Linked DNA regions of Xenopus tropicalis. The protein of the gene in region 6 binds, or shares a complex with, the protein of the main gene of each other region. Links are inferred from orthologs where the notes say so. Each region holds a gene or a part of one and is shown on either strand. Other genes may lie near its edges.

The links.
Region 1: iqcg (region 6) and tcte1 share a complex: the UniProt entries of both Homo sapiens proteins name them as parts of the nexin-dynein regulatory complex. The link is inferred for Xenopus tropicalis from reciprocal best matches to the Homo sapiens genes DRC9 and DRC5.
Region 2: iqcg (region 6) and efcab2 share a complex: the UniProt entries of both Homo sapiens proteins name them as parts of the nexin-dynein regulatory complex. The link is inferred for Xenopus tropicalis from reciprocal best matches to the Homo sapiens genes DRC9 and DRC8.
Region 3: iqcg (region 6) and ccdc153 share a complex: the UniProt entries of both Homo sapiens proteins name them as parts of the nexin-dynein regulatory complex. The link is inferred for Xenopus tropicalis from reciprocal best matches to the Homo sapiens genes DRC9 and DRC12.
Region 4: iqcg (region 6) and drc7 share a complex: the UniProt entries of both Homo sapiens proteins name them as parts of the nexin-dynein regulatory complex. The link is inferred for Xenopus tropicalis from reciprocal best matches to the Homo sapiens genes DRC9 and DRC7.
Region 5: iqcg (region 6) and fbxl13 share a complex: the UniProt entries of both Homo sapiens proteins name them as parts of the nexin-dynein regulatory complex. The link is inferred for Xenopus tropicalis from reciprocal best matches to the Homo sapiens genes DRC9 and FBXL13.

Annotation. Positions count from the first base shown.
Region 1 is NC_030681.2:2,404,420-2,408,482, forward strand, and holds the start of tcte1 (dynein regulatory complex subunit 5), read right to left. Parts: upstream 2,801-4,063; 5' UTR 2,713-2,800; exon of another isoform or gene 2,684-2,712; intron 828-2,683; 5' UTR 778-827; coding exon 594-777; intron 1-593. UniProt on the Homo sapiens protein: Component of the nexin-dynein regulatory complex (N-DRC) a key regulator of ciliary/flagellar motility which maintains the alignment and integrity of the distal axoneme and regulates microtubule sliding in motile axonemes.
Region 2 is NC_030681.2:51,986,723-51,990,923, forward strand, and holds the start of efcab2 (dynein regulatory complex protein 8), read right to left. Parts: upstream 2,801-4,201; 5' UTR 2,743-2,800; coding exon 2,718-2,742; intron 941-2,717; coding exon 856-940; intron 482-855; coding exon 409-481; intron 1-408. Other genes in the region: splicing factor YJU2, read left to right, coding at 2,923-2,946. UniProt on the Homo sapiens protein: Component of the nexin-dynein regulatory complex (N-DRC), a key regulator of ciliary/flagellar motility which maintains the alignment and integrity of the distal axoneme and regulates microtubule sliding in motile axonemes.
Region 3 is NC_030683.2:80,334,194-80,337,693, reverse strand, and holds part of ccdc153 (coiled-coil domain-containing protein 153), read right to left. Parts: intron 2,791-3,500; coding exon 2,671-2,790; intron 2,371-2,670; coding exon 2,278-2,370; intron 1,442-2,277; coding exon 1,311-1,441; intron 1-1,310. UniProt on the Homo sapiens protein: Component of the nexin-dynein regulatory complex (N-DRC), a key regulator of ciliary/flagellar motility which maintains the alignment and integrity of the distal axoneme and regulates microtubule sliding in motile axonemes.
Region 4 is NC_030680.2:76,097,276-76,100,775, forward strand, and holds part of drc7 (dynein regulatory complex subunit 7), read right to left. Parts: intron 2,502-3,500; coding exon 2,343-2,501; intron 1-2,342. UniProt on the Homo sapiens protein: Component of the nexin-dynein regulatory complex (N-DRC) a key regulator of ciliary/flagellar motility which maintains the alignment and integrity of the distal axoneme and regulates microtubule sliding in motile axonemes.
Region 5 is NC_030679.2:78,014,446-78,017,945, reverse strand, and holds part of fbxl13 (dynein regulatory complex subunit 6), read right to left. Parts: intron 2,847-3,500; coding exon 2,720-2,846; intron 1-2,719. UniProt on the Homo sapiens protein: Substrate-recognition component of the SCF (SKP1-CUL1-F-box protein)-type E3 ubiquitin ligase complex.
Region 6 is NC_030681.2:100,505,729-100,509,744, forward strand, and holds the start of iqcg (dynein regulatory complex protein 9), read right to left. Parts: upstream 2,801-4,016; 5' UTR 2,663-2,800; intron 1,257-2,662; 5' UTR 1,235-1,256; coding exon 1,121-1,234; intron 572-1,120; coding exon 324-571; intron 1-323. UniProt on the Homo sapiens protein: Component of the nexin-dynein regulatory complex (N-DRC), a key regulator of ciliary/flagellar motility which maintains the alignment and integrity of the distal axoneme and regulates microtubule sliding in motile axonemes.

The DNA.
Region 1 (4,063 bases), about 98 Mb from region 6:
CCCAATATTTCCAGTACCCAAACAGCCCCCCCAGCCCAATAAATAGTGACTGTCCCTGGTATAAGATGGGGGAGGAAAAGCAAATTCACCAAGTACCAATGGAATAGGGGCCCGTGCCCACCCATTGCCCACCCATTGCCTACACATTGGGAACCCATTGCCCACCCATTGCCTACACATTGGGAACCCATTGCCCACCCATTGGCCACCCATTGCCCACCCATTGGCCACCCATTGCCCACCCTTTGCCCACCCATTGCCTACACATTGGGAACCCATTGCCCACCCTTTGCCCACCCATTGCCTACACATTGGGAACCCTTTGGCCACCCATTGCCCACCCATAGCCCACCCATTGTGAACCCATCGCCCACCCTTTGCCCACCCATCGCCCACCCATTGGGAACCCATCGCCCACCCTTTGCCCACCCATAGCCCACCCATTGGGAACCCATCGCCCACCCTTTGCCCACCCATTGGCCACCCATTGCCTACACATTGGCCACCCATTGCCCACACATTGGCCACCCATTGTCTACACATTGCCCACCCATTGCCCACACATATCTGCCCGGGGCCCTAGAGCCACTTACGTGCAAAGTTCGTGACGATGTGCTGCAGGCAGAGGTCGCTGAGCAGGGGGACAATGGCCAACGACCATGTTGGATCTTCTGCAATAATTCTGCGCATCCTTCTGGGGTCGGCGGCCGGGTTTCTTTGCCCCACTGGTAACGGCGCCGGCACCAAACCTCTTACACTGGGAGGGGCCTCAATCATCTTGCTGAGCCAATGGGCAGTGAGTTGTGGAACTGTATATGCTTTTACCCCTGTGAGTTAGGACAGAGAGATAAGAGGGTGCTTAGGGCCCGCATACCCGGAACCCACAGGGTTAGACTGTAAGGGCCGGTGCTTAGGGCCCACACACTGGGAACCCATAAGGTTAGACTGTAAGGGCCGGCGCTTAGGGCCCACACACCCGGAACCCACAGGGTTAGACTGTAAGGGCCGGTGCTTAGGGCCCACATACCCGGAACCCACAGGGTTAGACTGTAAGGGCCAGTGCTTACGGCCCACACACTGGGAACCCACAGGGTTAGACTGTAAGGGCCGGCGCTTAGGGCCCGCATACCCGGAACCCACAGGGTTAGACTGTAAGGGCCGGTGCTTAGGGCCCACACACCCGGAACCCACAGGGTTAGACTGTAAGGGCCGGCGCTTAGGGCCCGCATACCCGGAACCCACAGGGTTAGACTGTTAGGGCCGGCGCTTAGGGCCCACATACCCGGAACCCACAGGGTTAGACTGTAAGGGCCGGCGCTTAGGGCCCGCATACCCGGAACCCACAGGGTTAGACTGTTAGGGCCGGCGCTTAGGGCCCACATACCCGGAACCCACAGGGTTAGACTGTAAGGGCCGGCGCTTAGGGCCCGCATACCCGGAACCCACAGGGTTAGACTGTAAGGGCCGATGCTTAGGGCCCACACACCCAGAACCCACAGGGTTAGACTGTAAGGGCCGGTGCTTAGGGCCCACACACTGGGAACCCACAGGGTTAGACTGTAAGGGCCGGTGCTTAGGGCCCGCATACCCGGAACCCACAGGGTTAGACTGTAAGGGCCGGCGCTTAGGGCCCACATACCCGGAACCCACAGGGTTAGACTGTAAGGGCCAGCGCTTAGGGCCCACATACCCGGAACCCACAGGGTTAGACTGTAAGGGCCGGTGCTTAGGGCCCACATACCCGGAACCCACAGGGTTAGACTGTAAGGGCCGGTGCTTAGGGCCCGCATACCCGGAACCCACAGGGTTAGACTGTAAGGGCCGGTGCTTAGGGCCCACACACTGGGAACCCACAGGGTTAGACTGTAAGGGCCGGCGCTTAGGGCCCACATACCCAGAACCCAGAACCCACAGGGTTAGACTGTAAGGGCCGGTGCTTAGGGCCCACACACCCAGAACCCACAGGGTTAGACTGTAAGGGCCGGTGCTTAGGGCCCACACACCCAGAACCCACAGGGTTAGACTGTAAGGGCCGGTGCTTAGGGCCCGCATACCCGGAACCCACAGGGTTAGACTGTAAGGGCCGGTGCTTAGGGCCCACACACTGGGAACCCACGGGGTTAGACTGTAAGGGCCGGTGCTTAGGGCCCACATACCCGGAACCCACAGGGTTAGACTGTAAGGGCCGGTGCTTAGGGCCCACACACTGGGAACCCACAAGGTTAGACTGTAAGGGCCGGTGCTTAGGGCCCACATACCCGGAACCCACAGGGTTAGACTGTAAGGGCCGGCGCTTAGGGCCCACATACCCAGAACCCACAAGGTTAGACTGTAAGGGCCGGTGCTTAGGGCCCACATACCCAGAACCCACAGGGTTAGACTGTAAGGGCCGGCGCTTAGGGCCCACATACCCGGAACCCACAGGGTTATTATTATTATTATTATTATAAGGGTTAGACTATAAGGGCCTTTGTGTTTATTTGGGGTGAGTAGAACATATACACATATAAATATTTCTTTGCACTGAATGCCTTGTAGGTAACAACTCGCTTTACGGCAGGGGCCCCACACTGAGGGTGAGACACAGGGCATTAGGGCTGAACATATAATACAATGTGAGAGGTAAGGGAGCTTGGCTGGGGGCTCCCGTATTACCCTGCCCCCCATACCCCTACCTACCTACCTACAGCCAATCCCCAGGCACAGACTTACTGTAGCACCGCGGTACCGGCTCTCCCCTGGCTGCTACCGGCCGGAGTTTACCGTTCCCATGGCAACACAGGCAGCGCTATTTCCCCGCACGGATTCTGCCCCGGAGCGCCCCCTGGCGGGTACCGCGTAACATGATCCGCACTTTAACCCATTCGCCGCTCTCTGTTCCGGCACCGAGGGCTGAAAAGGGTCGGACCGGGGGTTGGGGCAAGTTGCTATTGTCTGGCCCCCCAGGTCTGGCAGGTCCGGGTACTTTAGCCCCCCTAATACTGACCCATCTCTTCCCACCCCTCCCTTAACCTCTTAACTGCCCCCTCTCCCATACGGAGCCTTCTCTGCCCTCCCTTCCCTAACACTGACCCCCAACTGCAACGCCCCCCCCCCCCCCCCCCCCCCCAGCAGAGATCTGTAAAAAATCTGCCATATTGTTACCCCTAAGTTTGCCCATAGCCTGTACAGAGAGATACCGTAAAACTATGGCACATAGGGATTCCCCTGTACTAAGCACAATTCAGCAGGAACAGCCCCCTAAGTTTGCCCATAGCCTGTACAGAGAGATACCATAAAACTATGGCACATAGGGATTCCCCTGTACTAAGCACAATTCAGCAGGAACAGCCCCCTAAGTTTGCCCATAGCCTGTACAGAGAGATACCATAAAACTATGGCACATAGGGATTCCCCTGTACTAAGCACAATTCAGCAGGAACAGCCCCCTAAGTTTGCTCATAGCCTGTACAGAGAGATACCATAAAACTATGGCACATAGGGATTCCCCTGTACTAAGCACAATTCAGCAGGAACAGCCCCCTAAGTTTGCTCATAGCCTGTACAGAGAGATACCATAAAACTATGGCACATAGGGATTCCCCTGTACTAAGCACAATTCAGCAGGAACAGCCCCCTAAGTTTGCTCATAGCCTGTACAGAGAGATACCATAAAACTATGGCACATAGGGATTCCCCTGTACTAAGCACAATTCAGCAGGAACAGCCCCCTAAGTTTGCTCATAGCCTGTACAGAGAGATACCATAAAACTATGGCACATAGGGATTCCCCTGTACTAAGCACAATTCAGCAGGAACAGCCCCCTAAGTTTGCTCATAGCCTGTACAGAGAGATACCCTAAAACTATGGCACATAGGGATTCCCCTGTACTAAGCACAATTCAGCAGGAACAGCCCCCTAAGTTTGCTCATAGCCTGTACAGAGAGATACCATAAAACAGGAGGATTTGGATAAAAACCTTTATTTGAGGGTGGGTCCCAAAGTATGGGGGTGCAGAGGAGGTAGTTTCCTAGAAGAAGCCAATGCCATAGGTCAGACAGAGAAAATGAAATAGTGCAGCCT
Region 2 (4,201 bases), about 49 Mb from region 6:
AATGAAAACTGGTATATTTTGTATAGGATGCCTAATGTGTCTATATATTGATGTTCATTTATAGTTGCTCAGAGTTGCCATACTATTTTTTGTTTAGAAAATGTAACATTTTAGAAACAGACTTTAATAAAACAGTGCCCTCTATTGGCTGAACATGCTAACAAAGACTCGCAGAATTCTTGTTGCCTTTAACAGGCAAAAACTTTCTCAGCTACATCTTAAACGTGGGAGTTATTTTACACAGCAAGATAAGACATACAAAGGTTTTATCTCTTCTTAGGCAATAATAGGTCAGAATAAATATAAAAATATTTTTACTTTTACAGCTGCAATTTTTCAGTTTTTATTGATATGGGCACAATAAGTGCATATAGTTCTGTACTCTTTAACTTGTTTTTAAAACCTTACCTCTGCAATCATATCATGGAGTTCGCCTTCTGTTGGGCAACATTCTAAAGACCTTATGATTGTTCCAATCTCTCTGTTACAAAAGTAGCACAGTTAATGCATGAAACTTTAAAATAAAACAGGGTTAGGGTTAGCTTTTATATCCTGTTAATGTAAAAAAAATCTTAATTAGTCTAATAGCTTTAAAAAATAATAAATAAAATAAATAATGTGCATATTGTATACTTTTTTTAATGAGAACTCTTGACAAAGTAAGGTTTTGCTTGTTTAGTGTGTTGTTTTTTTTTACACAATACAAAGAAAATGATTACCAAAGCACACACACTTTTGAGATTGCATTAAATAATAAAAATGGCAGCTTTAGGAACTGAAAGCTTGTACAGCTGTCTTTCTCCTGTTTACCCAGCATTCTACAAAAAAAAACTACAGGGAAAATGTTATGTTTACCTGACATCAACAGTTTTGTTACATTCATGGTCAAAAACCTCAAAGGCTTCTGTAATTTTTTTCTGTAAATCTGTCACTAGAGATTCTGAAAAAATATGTGTAAGAAAATAATTAGATGCATTAATGGATTAGCAGGCATAGTGACATGCTTTACAGTTATACACTGTTTCCATTACTAATATGACTATTTGAGCTCCATCTGTGTGGAGAACCATCTGTCACCACTTCAAGTGCAACGGATCACCTCTTTAGCACACACAAAGATTTTGGCATGAAAATACATATATTTATATGTCACATGCCTGTCAGTGCACACACAGGTTCAGAAAGAGAATGGTGGTGCATTGCCTATTCTCAGATTGCGCTGAAACAGCCTTAGAACCAGGGCCGCCGCCAGGGAGGACAGTCCTGGGCCCGGTGGGTTTTGAGGTTTAAGGGGGGCCCGGCCGTGCTGCTGTGAGAGCTGCAGAATCGGGTAGCAAAGGACAGGAACCTGGGTGCCTGTATCTCCTTTACTGCTCATTTACCACAGAACTCTAAATCCTGGTAATTCTGCATGGGGATTGGATGGGTCCCTTCCAGCCCATTCAATCACCATGCACCTTTTCCGGGACTTAAACTTTATTGGCAAATGAGCTTACAGAAAGCTGTATGAGATAATAAGAAGCTGGCACTGGAGCGCTAGTCCTGTGTTCTGAAGGCTGCTGGTCACTGACTGCAGGGGGCCCTGGTAATCCAAGTGCAGCGTGGCCTGCGCTCCTATGACCATAAAAAACACCAGGACAACTATTTGCCCTCAAGGCTGCCCTGTACGGTGGTATTCTCTGTTGCTCATATACAGTATGTCTGTTCACACCATAACCTAAACGCTTGAATTAAGGAAATGGATTAATTGGCTTTGGCACTGACTATAATGGATAGAAAACAGAACATAAGCTACTAGCTTTTTTAACACACATTAAAAATGTAATTTGGTGCTTTTTTTTGCATTTATTACTTTTACAGTTTTCCTATATCTTGCACTGATCAGAATAACTTACTTCATTACAGCAACTTATAGTAGCTCATTGTCTCTTGCTTACATTTCAGGGTTTGTTTTTAGCCAACAGTATTGAGATGAGGTATAATAGTAATGGGTGCTAAATTCCAAAGTTTTGATTATAACTATCTTGCACAGAAGCCAATCCTAGTAACAGGGATGTGACTGGTGTGATCAGTACAATTTTAGGATATCCTTAGGTACACACCTACATACCTACACCTGCACGGCCCCCTTACGTTATCAGAGAATGGGAATTGCAGTACATTTTTTAAGGGGAAGTAAAGTGAAAAATCTAAGAGCCCTTATGGTGCCAGGTTCTTTATGAAAAAGACAATATTTTTTAATATAAATTTATTAAAAAAATCCATACAGGTTTTTTTTTTGTTTAACATAAATATAATCCCTTGCCTTTGATTCCCCCCCTTCACTTCACTAGGTCTGATGTACTGATCGAACAAAAGCTTAGATGCCCACTGGCTGGACAACAGATCCTGCTAATTGTGTTGTATGGGGCCTGTGAGTTCTGATGGCAGCCCTGCCTAGGATTATAGCACATTCTGCTGCCTGCAGTATATCAATACTAAAATTCTATTCCAAATTGTACCAATAGGTTAATTGATACTCTATCTAAAATGCACCCAGTATTTTAGTCACCCATAAAGATGAACAGGCGATTATTTGTAGAATGTACTTTACTCGTTTCTATTGATTTTCTAACAGGGTTCAGACCAAGTCTCTGTTAATTTCCCCTTCTCCTTCCCTCTCCTCGTCTCGCTATTTTTATCTGTTTTTTACATTTTGTTATGGAGCATTAACTTACCAGCGGCCTCCTTCTCATCAGTCATTTTTGTATCTGGTTGCTAGGTGACTGCACAACCCAAGTCATTTGACCACCTGGTGGCGCTGAGATGACGTGCGTGAATATAAAACACTTCCTAGCTGCTTGTTCCTGCGAGCGGCTGGAGCGTGACGTCATTGATCTGCGCCATTTGGAAAATACAGCTACAGAGGAGTGAAGAGTAACAATGTCTGAGCGGAAAGTCTTAAATGTACGTAATAGTAAGAAGGGACTTGGGGAAAGGGACAGGAGGCGCTTGGTTAAGGGATAGACCGGTTGAAGATATGTAAACAGCACTCACTAATAAAGACGTGGTGCGTCAGTAAAAACTCTGAGGATTGTGTTATAAAAGGTGCAAAATTCTGTACATGACTTGTTACCTAATGCAACCAATCAGCAAGTAGCATTTGCTGGTCACTTTTTTTTAACGCAAAATATGGCTTTCTTCACCCTGGCATACTTGTAACTTTTATTACGTATGAGGGATATTACATATGTTACATGTTATATAATTAATACTAAGAGAAGTTATCAAAGTAGTAAAGGCTGAAGTGAAGACAACTCTGCTGGGTCAGTAGTTCCAGCATTCCACTCTGTCAGCTTCAGGGGTAGGCTGCAAGGTCACCAGTATGAAATTCAATTATTATATTGTACATTTAAAGCAAGACAAATCTTGCTTCCTATGCCAGAAGCATCTTGTTTAAAAAGCTTGGTCATTCCACATACGTGCAGAGTTCAGCTAAAATGCATAACTATTATAATCATAATAAACGTTCTCTGGCAAAATCTGGCTAGTGTGCAGTAACAGGCGGATTACACATGGGGCAGCTAAATCAGCATGTCCCCTGTGTAGCAAAATGGTTTGTATGATATGGGCCTAGAGCTAACAGCGATGGCACTGGAAACTGGTTAACACAGAATATAGTCAGTTTATAGTGCGTACTACTAATATCAGTTGTCAGGGTCACGTTAAAAAACATGCTGAAGGTACTTTGATGTCTATGTTATGAAGATGTAAACTGTAATTAAAAGCCCAGCTTATGAATTCTTACATTTCTTGCTATATGTAATGACACCTATATATGTACAGATATATGAAGACACTGCTGTATCAGCCATGAGTATCCAGGAAATAAATTGTCACTTAACTGAGGAAGATCTAGGCCTTACCCTTAGATCTTAGGTCTTACACTAACTGGCTTGCAGACTTGGTCCCCCTAGCCACTTGGTCAGTTTAGGTACCACTGATATAGATGACACATAATAACATAGTAAGTTAGGTTGAAAAAGGACATATGGCCACCAAGTTAAACGTAATGCTTATATATAACTTGCATAACTGCTAGTTGATCCAGTGGAAGGCACAAAACCCCATCTGAAGCCTCTCTAATTTGCTGCAGAGGGGGAAAAATTCTTTCCTGACTCCAAGATGGCAATCGGACCAGTCCCTGGATCAACTTGTACTA
Region 3 (3,500 bases), on a different chromosome or scaffold from region 6:
CACCCTCAATGTCCACCTATATTGTTTGACCCCTGCATGAAGGATTCTTCATACTACTATGTTTTTTTTCCTGTAGTGGAAGTTTTATTGGTTTCTTCTAATGTGGCTCCCATAAGCCAATGGGTCTGGGTGCAGTAGAGTACTTGTAGCTACACCACTGGAAAATGCAAGAGGGGAGAAGTAGGGAATTTTCTGAAAAGAATTACTGTTTATAGTTTTCCTATTAAAACTGACACCTAACTCCCAGGACCCCAATATAGGGTAACATTTACCTGCCCCACTTCCACGCACTTCAGGATATTGCTAGATGAGTTCTAGGGGATATTGTTACAGAGGACGACTGCAAGAATTATGACCTATTAAAGCATGAGATCCACACCAGACATGCTTTTCAGGTACTTGCAACTTAGGCATGCTTTTAATATACAATTCCCATCCAGACCCATAAGGTTATCCGAAAAAACCCTTGAGACTTACCTTCATAGACAAGACCTCTCCTGGTTCTACATTATACCTTCTTTAATAGGTCCCTCTCCCCTTCAAAAAAATAGACTAAATGGCAAAGGGACATACCCACGCTAGAGGATGAGATGTGGTCTGATGCCCTCAAGCTTGTTCCTTATTTATCCATCTCAAAGAGGGATAGATACATACAGATTAAGTTTTAAACAGAGTGTACTCAACAACCCACCGTCTGGCAAAAATTTATAATAATGTGTCTGATCAATGCCCCAAATGCACCGATGGCATAGGCACCATGTTTCATGGCTTCTGGTCTTGTCAGGCTATCCAGAGATTCTGGGGTGAGGTGCTAACATTTCTCAATGAGAAGCTTGGCTTTCCAAACATCCATTCACTCCTATGCTGACTAGGAGTAATAGGTGATATACACATCTGGTCCCACTCCAGAGCATGCTACTTACAACTGCTTTACTATGCTAAAAAAGCCATTCTTATGCATTGGAAATTCTTAGATCCCCCTTCTCTTCAGTTTGTCAAAAGATGGTAGATGATTCCCTTCCAAGCCAAAAACTGATTATTTAGCAAGACGTCCAGAGAAATTCAATGCTATATGGGGAACCTGCTTTGAACAGCAAAATATCTGAATGTATAATATACCTATTTACACACTTTTTGATTTGGGGCCTTTGCCTCACTTTGCTTTCCTTTCCATTCTTCCCTTTTGTTAATTGTATTCCTTGTATTGAAAACTATGCAAAAAGAAAAGCTTTAAAAAAAATTAAAAAAAAACTGACACCCAAATGACATGCAGTGACGCTCCTGCCGTAGCTCAAATAAATTTAACTTACATGCAACAAATTCTCATATTCTGACTCCATGTTTTCCACCTCTCTACGCAGGTGTATAATTTGATCCTCTTTCTCGGATTTTGTGTGCTCCAATTCTTCACGGACTTCCTTTAGCTCTTGCTGAGACTCACCTAAGTGTGATGCATACACAATTACACATTATTGGGCTTGCATTGTAAAGTATGCAAATTGAGGACAGAGCTATTTACTATTGCAGGTTCAACTGTATACACAAAGTGGTTGCGACTTTTCTTGTGCCTTAACACCTATTTGGAATTTGCAGATATAAATGAGATTAAATTGTAATGAATGGGATACCTGAGGGCTCATTTACAGCTGCAAGCGCAATAGACAACTTGCACTTAAACTACTTGGACTTAGAACCGCTTTCATTAAATTTAACTGCGTCATAATGCACTCTTCACACTACCCTCTAGTTGCACTCAGTCCTTCCTGCTTTCCGTTTCAAATCGGGCTCTGCTGCACTTATTGCACGACATTCGCACGCTGAACACCAAAAACGATGCCAACAAATGCTAGAAATTACACCAGACAGACTTTGAAAATATTCAGTGCAACTGCTCCCAATTTGCAACAAGCTGAAGACACAGTTTCATCCATTTTGGCAAATTGGATGCGACTGCAGTAGGTGAGCGCAATTGCGCCAACAAAATCACCCGCATTACAATGACACCAGAATTCTGGAAAAAAAATGCATTGTGGAAAAAAACATGGTAATTGCCCCTGAAATTGCATTTGCACACTGCGTAAAGTAATGAATGCAGATTTTTCCTTATGGACTTTTTCAACCTCAACTACTATGCTACTGTTACTATGTAACTTAACTACGGTGAGCCAAATGAAAGAAGATCTGGAAAACACCAGATTCCATGCATTCTGGATAGATTTCATGTCTCTATAAGTGTGTCTACATTTTATGCCGTCTAGTACTACGCTCCATTCTCACCAAGTTGTAACCTCAGTTCCGCAACCTCCTGTTTCAGGGCCTGGATAGATGCTGAGCTCTGCTGTTCCAAAGCCTGCTGCTGACGTGTCATTTCTAAGGGTGACAGAGAAAAATGAAGCCAGTCAGTACTAAAGGAAAAATTAAACCTGTTATGTAGAGCACAATCTTGACCCAAAATTACAATTTTCATTGTAATATTTTAATTTACATCCACTGAAACCCAGCCATTTCTGGGTGGGTAATAACTACTAATACTGTTTTATGAAACGTCCTAATGTGAGCGATTTATTAGTTAGCTGATTAGTCACCATATGGCCTTGTTTAATTTGAGCCTATATCTTGTCAATTTGAAATTCTATCCTTTGATACCAAAAAGGAAGATCCTTTCCTTACCACTGTATATAGCTTGTTTTTCACTTTTCTCCTCTTCCAGGTCTCCCTGCAGCTCTTGCAGTTTTGCATGCAGCTCCTCTTTGTGTTCCTGAGTTCGCCGTGTTACTTGCCTGCGCAGCGCTGTCAGAAAGGAGAGTCATATGAAGTATTTAACGAATCTTACCAAGGTTGCATGTACAACAGTAAATACTGCTTTTTTTATATATTTCCCCCTGAGCCGCCATTTTGTGATGGTCTTTGTTGCTTCCTCACAGAGTAAAACACACAGTTCTGTTCATTCAGTGGCTGATATAACATCTGCATACCCTTGGTTTGTGTATCAGCACAGTGCCTCATATGAACCAGAGGGTGGAGCTTAGTTCTTAAAATGGCAGTTTTTAAAATTGGGATTATCCAATGGCACATGCTATTAGAAAAGTATATTTTTTTATGAAAAGGTTTTAGTTTTAAGAAACAATGTTTTACATATGTTTATGTGATTTACTTTTAGAGTTTTTCTGGGGGCTCCTTTAGCCCTGAAAATGTAGCGAAATTGAGTTCCCAAAGATATTGTGTTCTGAATATGCCACTGCTGAAAAGATGAAATTCACTATAATCTGTAATTATTCCTATATGTCAGAGGTCCACTTGGGTCTCACCAAAATTGCAAGTAAGCCCTGTAAGTAAATATGGCCCCACAGTTTGAGAAGCACTGGTCTAATTTATTTTACTTAATTAAATACTGACTTTTCTACATTGTTTTTTTTATACCTATGTCCACCTTACATATTTCTGAATTATATATGACAAAAAAATGGCTCCTTGGGGTCTCCCCTACTACTGGTATGTAT
Region 4 (3,500 bases), on a different chromosome or scaffold from region 6:
AAGCATTTTAGGGTAAAAAAAGCACTCCCATCTACACTATTGCAAAGTATGCCTGGAATTCATTGGGAACAGCAAGAGGTAGTTGGGAGGTTCACTTTTTAAACCAGCAGCAAATCCACTTAGTCTCACATTAGCTGTAGGTCAGTCTATGTATGGCCCATCTTTAGCCACTCCAAACAAAAAAGTCACCCTCCGCCTATGCACACCCTTACATCCATATGCCACTTCCCCTGTGGATATCACAGCAACCCCCAGCATATAATTACACACCTTAGGGTAGTCTTACACAGGGAGATTAAGCGCTCACGATAAATTTTCCCAATTGCTGGCGACTAATCTCCCCGACATGCCATTCCACCGGCAAGAATGTAAATCGCAAGAAAGCGATGCCTATACCATCTCACCGGCGATTTACATTCTTGCCAGTGGGATGGCATGCTGGGGAGATTAGTCATCAGCAAGTGAAGATTTATCATGGGTGCCTAATCTCCCTGTGTGCCACTGCCCTTAGGAACCATATAATGACTATTTACAAATGCTTACAAACCCCTGCCAGGTTCACCTCCCTTAGGCAGAGTATGGCACACACATGCAGTATAGGGCAGACAGAGTATGGCACACACAGGCAGGGTAGGGCAGGCAGAGTATGGCACATATAGGCAATATAGGGCCAGGCATAGTATGACACACACAGGCTATATAGCAGGCAGAGAATAGCACACACAGGTAGTATAGAGCAGGCAGAGTATGGCACATACAGGCAGCATAGGTCAGGCAAAGTATGGCACACACAGGCAGTATAGGGCAGGCAGAGCATGGGCCTGCAAGCTGTCAATCGGACAGCAATGCCTTAAACCCTCTGTGTGGCCCCCCACCTGTCTGGCTGCTTTGATGGCTTACTCTTGTGTAAGCTTTAAATGGTATCAGTACTGTGATTAACTGCCCCCCCTGCATGGTTCACACCTCAGATTCAGGCTGTAAACCCTCTGTATTGTTTAAAAATGTAATCCCCTGTGTTGTTCACACCTTTTAATCTCTGCATTGTTCACCCCCTGCAGTGTTCACACCTCAGTCTCAAACTGTAATCACCCACATTGTTTCCCTGTTCACACCTCAGACTGTAGAAGCAGTAAAAACCCACAAATAATCCCTGCACACTACAAAAAGAACATATACTGAGGTGGTACTGCAATTAAAAAGTTTTTTAATATATAGTTATTGTGCAGACTGTAGGAGCAGTGCCAGCATTGTGTCACTGTATGCTGCCTGTGTGTTCCATACACACAGGCAGCATAGGGCAAGCAGAGTATGGCACACACAGGCAGAATAGGGCAGGCAGAGTATGGCACACACAGGCAGCATAGGGTAGGCAGAGTATGGCACACACAGTCAGGGTAGGGTAGGCAGAGTATGGTACACACAGGCAGGGTAGGGCAGGCAGAGTATGGTACACACAGGCAGGGTAGGGCAGGCAGAGTATGGCACACACAGGCCAAGTATGGCACAAACCAGCCAAGAATGGCACACACAGTCAAAGTATGGCACACGCAGGCAGGGTAGGAAAGGCAGAGTATGGCACACACAGGCAGGGTAGGGAAGGCAGAGTATGGCAGGTTTGTGCTGTACTACAACCATTAATATGGGTATGGTCATGTGATAACACGGGTGTGGTTTCAAGTGGGTGCAGTTTCAAAAAGGGGAGTGGTCAAAACTGGCTTCCATTATCGCCCCTCCACCACGTAGGTCGGAAAAATTCCGGCCCTTGGTACCACAGAAGTTGGACAGCACTGCCTTAAAGGATACAATTAAACTGGATCACATCATGTTTCATGTATATGGCTCCCTTTTCCAAAGAGTTTACAGGGGAAGATGATCATAAAATGATATGTTAGAATGAAGTCTAAGACAATCAGCATTATTTTTGCTTTGCTGCTTCAAAGTTCAGGTGACTGAGGAGACAATACACGACAAGAGATAGTCAGTCATTTTGGCCAATTCAGACCACAGTGCCGGGCCAAGCCGGCCAGGGGCCCTAGGCAACCTGGTCGGCCTGGAATTTAAAGGCAGAGAGCATGTTTGCACCTCCTACATTAATGCCACACATTTTCTAAAAAGTGCCTTTGACCACAAATGATAAATGAAATATTTTTCAGCTGCTGTTAGAATTTTGAGTACATGTTGCATCCAGATACATTTATACTAAAAATGGATTTTTAGAATATTTAGGGGAAAGGGGGTATTATTAATGCTATTTGGTATCAAAATCATTTAAAATAACTTGCTTTTGCAAAGAAAAGTCATCAGAAAAGGTCCTTATACTTACTGACTACAGTCCATCTTACCTCCTTAAGCCTAGTCTCCTCCTCCTGCTCATTGCGCAGAGCTTCCTCCATTTTAGCCTGTTTCTTGGCTTCTTGCTGTACTGCAAACTTACTAATCAGCTGACGAGGGGGCTTCACAGTATACTTCTTTAACGGCTTTTGGGGGATTTCCCAGGAGCTCTGCAATAAGACACAGAGCACTGAGATGTAATCATATAAGGTTATAAAAAAGGAAATATAAGTAAAATTAAGAGAACTTTAAATTACAACAGCAAATAATACTCTTAGGGTGAAGACACACAGAGCTACTAGTAGCAGCTACTTATCACGGCTACTAAAATAGACAATGCTGATCATTTACTGATAATTGTCTCTACGTGTGTTTGAGCAGAGGCAGTTCTTAGCATTGTCTATGGCAGGGTATTTACTGGCATTCAGTAGCCGTGACAAGTAGCTGCTACTAAGTAGCTCCGTGTGTCTTCACCTTTAAGGGCTCTGGCACACGGGGAGATTAGTCGCCCGCGACAAATCTCCCTGTTCGCGGGCGACTAATCTCCCCGGATTGCCATCCCACCGGTGAAAATGTAAGTCGCCGGTGGGATGGCACACACTGCGCAGGCGATTTCGGCAAATCGACGAAGTTGCCTCGCGAGGCATTTTCAGCGATTTGCCAAAATCGCGCCGCCGCGTGTGCCATCCCACTGGCGACTTACATTTTCGCCGGTGGGATGCCAGCTGATGGCAACTCGGGGAGATTAGTCGCCCGCGAACAGGGAGATTTGTCGCGGGCGACTAATCTCCCTGTGTGCCAGAGCCCTAAGGGTGAAGACACACAGAGCTACTAGTAGCAGCTACTTGTTGTGGCTACTAAAATAGACAATGCTGATCATTTACTGATAATTGTCACTACGTGTGTTTTAGCAGAGGCAATTCTCAGTATTGCCCAGTGTGTCTTCACCCTAAAAGTAAAGCTACTGGAATGTCACTTTAATATCAGTTGTTTAATCATAAAAACCTGGCTTTTCTAAACTGCTCTTATTTACCCATTCCCAGTATTCCCTCACAAGAGTGGATCGGTCCTGCATGGCAATGTGACAGCTTCAGCACCCTGACACAGCACTAATACAGCACCGGATAGAGTTCTCATAATAATGGCTTCAGTGTTACAATACCTTATAT
Region 5 (3,500 bases), on a different chromosome or scaffold from region 6:
AGGCAACTCAGGGAGATTAGTCGCCCGCGAACAGGGAGTTTTGTCGCGGGCGACTAATCTCCCCGTGTGCCAGAGCCCTTATGGGGCTTTGGCAGCAGTAAAACTTAATCCAAACAAGTAGCTGACTTGGATTTTTTACTTGTGCTCTGATAATCTTCTTTACTGCTGTGCTGCAAAATTGGAGTGATATTACACCCCCTATCTTCCCCCCAGCAGCTGATCAGCAGAACAATCGGTAGCTGCTATCTTGCTACCTTCTGATCATCACCTGCTGGGAAAAGGAAAGGGGGGGGAGTGATATCACTCCAACTTGCAGCACAGCAGTAAAGTGTGACTGAAAATTATCAGAACACATGTCACATGGCTGTGGCACCCTGGGAAATGAAAAACATGACTAGCCCCATGTGAAATTTAAAACTTAAATATAAAAAAAATCTGTTTGTGCTTTTAAAAACTGATTCAATGCAGGATTCTTCTGAAGAAGCTCTGTTAAAGGAGAAGGAAAAACAAAGTCACTTGGGGGTGCCAAAATGTTAGGCACCCCCAATTGACTTAAACCGCTTACCTTGTACCCTGGGCTGGTGCCCTTGTTCGGAGAGAACAGCACCAGCCCGGGGGTAGCTGCAGCGCTTCCTCCTTCCGTCTTCTAACGCACGCGCAATAGAGTGAAAAGCTGAACTTTAACAGAGAAGTCGGCTTTTCACTCTACTGCACATGCGCCTTTCCTTAGTCCTTCCAAAAGAGAAGGCGGAAGGAGGAAGAGCTGTGCTACAGGTACCCCAGGCTGGTGCTGTTTTCTCCTAACAGGGGCACCATCTCGGGGTACAAGGTAAGCGATTTAAGTCACTTGGGGGTGCCTAACATTTTGGCACCCCCAAGTGACTTAGCCATTCCTTGTCCTTTAACTGATGCGTTTTAAAAGAAAAATGTTTTCCCATGACAGTATTCCTTTAATGAAAAACTTGTATTTATACTGTGTCTAGAATATGCTGCAGTTTGAAGCACTAGCTCATACAGGTTTGCCTGCCATCTACTGATGTTTCATTTATAATTACGGCAAGAAAGCCTTGTTTGACCAGGAATTGTGTAGTTTTGTTCTTTCTGTTTAATGAGCTAAAACGTCTCATAAATTCAGCAATCTGCTTTTTAACTTGTTTATTAATGACCTATGGTGGGCATAGAGAGTACTGTTTCTATTTTTGCTGATGACACTAAATTGTGCAAAACTATAAGTTCCATGCAGGATACTGCCGCTTTGCAGAGCGATTTGACAAAATTAGATAACTGGGCAGCAAACTGGAAAATGAGGTTCAATGTTGATAAGTGCAAAGTTATGCACTTTGGTAGAAATAATATAAACGCAAACTATCTACTGAATGGTAGTGTGTTGGGGGTTTCCTTAATGGAGAAGGATCTAGGGGTTTTTGTTGATAACAAGTTGTCTAATGCCAGGCAGTGTCATTCTGTGGCTACTAAAGCAAATAAAGTGCTGTCTTGTATAAAAAAGGGCATTGACTCAAGGGATGAGAACATAATTTTGCCCCTTTATAGGTCCCTGGTAAGGCCTCACCTTGAGTATGCGGTGCAGTTTTGGGCTCCAGTCCTTAAGAAGGATATTAATGAGCTGGAGAGAGTGCAAAGACGTGCAACTAAACTGGTTAAGGGGATGGAAGATTTAAACTATGAGGTTAGACTGTCGAGGTTGGGGTTGTTTTCTCTGGAAAAGAGGCGCTTGCGAGGGGACATGATTACTCTGTACAAGTACATTAGAGGGGATTATAGGCAGTTGGGGGATGTTCTTTTTTCCCATAAAAACAATCAACGCACCAGAGGTCACCCCTTTAGATTAGAGGAAAGGAGCTTCCATTTGAAGCAGCGTAGGTGGTTTTTCACGGTGAGGGCAGTGAGGTTATGGAATGCCCTTCCTAGTGATGTGGTAATGGCAGATTCTGTTAATGCCTTTAAGAGGGGCCTGGATGAGTTCTTGATCAATCAGAATATCCAAGGCTATTGTGATACTAATATCTACAGTTAGTACTAGTGGTTGTATTTATAGTTTATGTATGTGAGTGTATAGATTGGTAGGTGTGGGTTGGGTGTGCTGGGTTTACTTGGATGGGTTGAACTTGATGGACACTGGTCTTTTTTCAACCCTATGTAACTATGTAACTATGTAACTATGTAATCTGCTGCCTCCTTATCAGGAGTGGAAGGCAGCATAAGAGGATTTGGCTTTTTTTGCCATCAGAAATAAGCAACTGATATGCTATTAGCATTAGAGATAACATTTATCAACTTGTAATCTAAACTAAACCTGAAGGTAAAATGCATACCAAAGGGTTTATGTAAGAAAAGGCACAAAGTTTGTCAGGGAGCAATAACCCATAGCAACCAATCAGCAGGAAGCATTTACTGGTCATCTGTTGTTTGTTAAAGCAAACATCTTATTGGTTGCTATGAGTTACTGCACCTGGGCAAACTTATTGCCTTTTATTACATAAGGGGGTATAAGAATAATAAAAAGGTGTTTTAGGAGTAGTTACATAGTAACATAGTAAGTTGGGTTGAAAAAAGACATACGTCCATCACGTTCACCTTGTATTCATAATATGTATGTTCATTATCATGTTAAGCAGTAGGTTCTGCTGTACCAACATTTTCCATATATCTTGGGATATTAATGGAAAAATAAGGAAAGAAAATATTTGTGCTAACATACCTGGTCTGTAATATTTGTCCCAGACAGATCTATGGAAATAAGTGAGGCCATGTTTCCTAGTAGCTCAAAGCCAGAATCTGTCAAATTTTCACAGTAGCGAAGACTTAGGTAGGTTAAATTATGACACCTAAAATAAAAATAGGAATACAGAAAACATTTAAAATCTGAATCCAGTAAAAAATATAATCAATAAAGGAACTCTATAAATACGACTGCAGTATAGTAACTGACAACATAGTAACTTTCACAACAACAGCCAGAATGTAAGCTGATGTAAACAAGATTCACTGTTATATGTACACTCTGGGTGCTTAAGCTATAAAAACGTAAAATACCCCTGTATATATTAATCATTATTCATGTAGCTAAGGTTTAGCATAAGGAATACTGATTGATGATTTATGATACATATATAAATCTCAGATCAGTTTAGATACCTTGAATATAATTATGGGTCTTTAGGAAACGTTTGGAAGGAAGGGGAGAGTCTGATGGGACAAGGCATAGAGACAGGCAGAAGCCCGGAAGAAGTCTTGCAGTTGGGAATGGGATGAGAGGAGAAGAGAGGCGAAGGTCAGAGGCAGAAAGTTGCGTGAAGGAGTGTATTGTGGTATTAGAGCTAAGATATAGGGAGGAGCATCAATAGTAAGGGCCTTATATGTAAGTGTTAGTAATTTGTATTCGATTCTAGAGGAGATTGGGAGGCAGCAAAAAGATATGCATCAGTGAGTGACAGATGTGGAACAGTGAGATAGATGAAGTCTGGCAGCAGCATTTAGAG
Region 6 (4,016 bases):
TATCGGCTACATGTGCCTGCCCCTGAGCGTATTCCATTCATTCGGGTGCAGGCACAAGTAGCAGGCGTAGGGCTGAAAAAATCAGCCCTACACCACGTGTGGCATCAGCCTCAGACTTTATTAAACTACAGCTTAGATTATCAATGTATCGACCTTCCCCTTTAATACAATTGTGTATGCCATCCCACCGGCGATTTACAATCTAGCCAATGGGATGGCATTTCGGGGAGATTAGCTGCCCGCGACAAGGGAGATTTGTCGCGCAGTGACTAATCTCCCCGTCTGCCATGACGCTTACAAACAAAAAGAAGCATCTGTCTCACCTGTCGGCTTGGACCTTCCTGAGGTTATCTGCAGTTAGAGGACTCTGTTTCACTACTCGAATAAACTGCTCATTGGTCAATTTTAGATTTCCGCTAGTTTCTTCCACCTGCTTTGTCAGATCCAGCATCTTACTGGACAGAGGGAAAGAGGTTGTTCGAACTTCTGCTCGTTTCCCCATGAGGTCTTCAAATTTTCCTTCCAGCTGCCTCTGTGTTTTTAGAATCTTTCCAATTTCATTTCCAACTATCTAAAATTACACACAAGACATTAGAAAGCCGACTAATTATAAAGAAAGGCAAAAACAGTCACTACAAATATTCCAGACCGAACGACGCTGCTTTAATATAAATGTTTGCTCAGAAAATATTTGTTCCCAGAGCATCTTGTATTGCACTAGATCAGGGATCCCCAACCTTTTTCCACCCATGAGCCACATGCAAAAATCAAAAGTTGGAGAGCAACACAAGCACGCAAAAAGGTCCAGGGGGTGTCTATTTTGGGCTGTCATTGGCTACTGGTAGCTCCTATGTGGTCTGGCAGCCTACAATGCTTCCAAAACTTTCCTCCAAGCCAAGAATTTAAAAATAAGCACCTGCTTTGATGCCACTGGGAGCAACATCCAACAGGTTGGTGAAAAACATGTGGCTTACGAGCCACTGGTTGGGGATCCCTGCACTAGATAATATATGCTAACTTTATAACCAGGTTACATTTGCAGGACTTTTTAGGATATTCAACATCAAAAGTTAGATTCCACAAAATACCCAATCACAGCCAAATGTTTATGGTCACTAACATCACTGCGGCCATGGTAAGATACAGGCATGATGTTTCCCAGAACGGAGAGTTGATCTAGGCTGTCCTCCAGTACAGTGCACGCCCGAAGTGCATCCAGCATAGACAATGTCATCTTTCAAGGAGTTTTACTTGACCTGCAAGGTATGAATGTGTCAGAATGCAAAGCCTTTAGTTTGCTGCAAATTGGATAAAACACTTTTTAAAAGGTGCCTACCAAACAATGCAAGATAAGCAAACACTAAGCCCCAAAAAGTTCTGCAAGCATGGATCTTTAGCAAATAAATCAAATATATTTACAAAATCATGTGCAAAGTTCAGTGTTTTGGTCACTACAGTGTAACCTTTCTTAAGGATTTCTGTATCCACACACAAACAGTGAAAATCTACCTTCCCCACCCTAATAAGCCCAAAAAGGCACCAAAAAGCTTGTAATAATTAGAATGTGCTAAGGTAAAAAAAATTATAATGCTATTATCAACCATGGGGCATAGTAAACAGCAAAAGCACAAAGGAGATTGACAAAGAGGCAATTCCTCTTTAATAGCGCTCTGTTGCCATAGCAACCTGTATGTGCAGAGCCCATACTACATTTCCCAGAAGTCTCCATGAGCCCAAATTTGTTTTAGGTGCTCATGCTTGCATTTAATGACTATTGATAAAGTTAACCTCGCACTATAGTTTAACACCTGGGTGCACTTGTATGTATACAATTAGTATAGTTCGCGAAGAGCATGTGCCCTGATTATATGTGTGTCTATGTTCTTCGCAAACTATGCATTTAATGACTAGTGTGCTGCCCAAACCACTGCTAACAACTCATATGCACAGAGACAAATTTGAAGATTTGAAATACCATTATAACAGGTATGGATGTTTTCATTAAAAAAATTTGGGTTTCATGTTAAATTTAAAAATTACTTTGACTTTATGTCTGGGTGGCAGGTCCCCTTTGAGCCAATAAGGAAACTCCAAACACAGTACTAACAATAGCATTTCCAGATTAAGAACTGACCAGGGAAACCTAGAACATTCCATTGCACCATCCTACTGAATGCAATTTCATAAGGAAGTATATAAGATGGATCAATTCAGATGTTTTCAAAGACACAAATGTGTTTATAACGGACAACTGGGTGACTTTTTCTTGCCCAAATGTGAATGCAAATGGGTTGGTGTATGGATTGGAAGGGCAGCTGAGAGTGGACACTGGTAGTATTGGAAGAGGGGCATCCCTACATAACAAACTGCTTACTTTTCTTGTAATACAACTAAAGGATAATGCAATTAGAATTTTATGTTTTATCCATTAAAGTATTATATCCAGCCAAATAAAAAGCATTTACTATAGAACAGGGAGCCTGTATCTTAGCCAGTGTATGTTTCTTAAGTCCCTGTATTACTACTACTCAGGTATGGTAACGTCTACCAAACACACACTGCATCCCTTTTTACCCCAACTATGTAGCTATATGCACATTCACGTACAATGTAAAATATATAATGCCAATACAGATTTTGCGAAAACTGATTTGCAAGTTACCTGTGCGTCAGAACACCCAATGTTTACATACAGTTGCCATGGGGATCGTACCCTGCCCGAGAGTCCTTGCGTCCTATTCGTCTTCGTACCGCCGGTTATATATCATTTTTAACATTTATTGCATTTATCTCACGATTTTAGATTTAAAATCAATTCTCTTAGAGATCATAGTTCATTGCCCTGAAATTGGGTTTAATTTATTTTTTTTTTTTACCCTTTTACATTAGGCAGTCACATGGACACCTCACGCATGCTACGTTCATAATTTCCCGTCATGCAAAGCGCTCCCCCTTCCTTTTCCTCCATCTTGGTTACCAGTGCGGGTGAGCTTAGTGTATAGTCAAATATTAATACTGAAAAATGGACAGTTAAATGGGTCGTATGAGAGAAATACCGACATGAACGGGGACGTCTACTTGAGCGTTATTTGCCGGGCCTGGCTTTGAGCCTGTGGGAGACGGGATGTTTGGGATACGGAGAGGATTGCATTGGAGCTAGGCTGATAGGATTTTCCCATTGCCGGCTTATTTTCGCAGCTGTACAACTGCAGCAAACTTGTTTTCGAGTTGTTCTTTTGGCGACAGTTGTGCCAGACACCTAAGGAAGTTTCCCTTCGCTGAGAGGCCGAGTTTTGTGTAGTAGTTGTCCCTTAATACAAACGGGGAATAAGCTTGGCTAATTGAAGTGCTGGGCAGCTTGGCTTGTACTTGTCTATAGGTTTTCTGCCGCCACCTATTCGTATAGTTCTATTATAGAAGTCAGCTGCTGCTGGAAAGCCAATTTAGGATCGTAAGTCCTGCCTTTGTAAGCGGGTAATTGTGGGGTCACTCGGGTGTGTGCCTGCTGGAGATGTGCTTCCTGATCATGCTTTTTGCTATTGCAAAGTCACACATGTTAAGGGAAAATGTTTGTTTCATATGACATATTTGGAAAGATGTTTTTATTGTTCATTTAAGAGAGGTGTCATAAAGATAATATTGATCTTGTCCTAGATTTTCTTTAAAAGGACAAGTAGTCTTATTTACTAGGGGAAGCAATATGTTGGCCGTGGGCATCTTTCTAACTGTCACACCACCATCTATCTGTATTTACCTGGATCCCTTGCACAGGCACAGTATAGGTACTTTTTACTGCATTGTGCACAGGTAAGACTATAGGTATAAGGGCTCCTGGGAAATGCAGGTAAGATTGTGGCGTGCCTCTTGGAGAAAAAGATCCACCTCTTTCTCTTTAAATGTTAACCCAGAATAAGGTCTCCAATACTTGGAGTGAATCATTAATACTCTTAATGACATAGTGTTACATGTGATTGCAAATGAAACTGTCTGCATAACTGTGTATGCATAACTGTGTA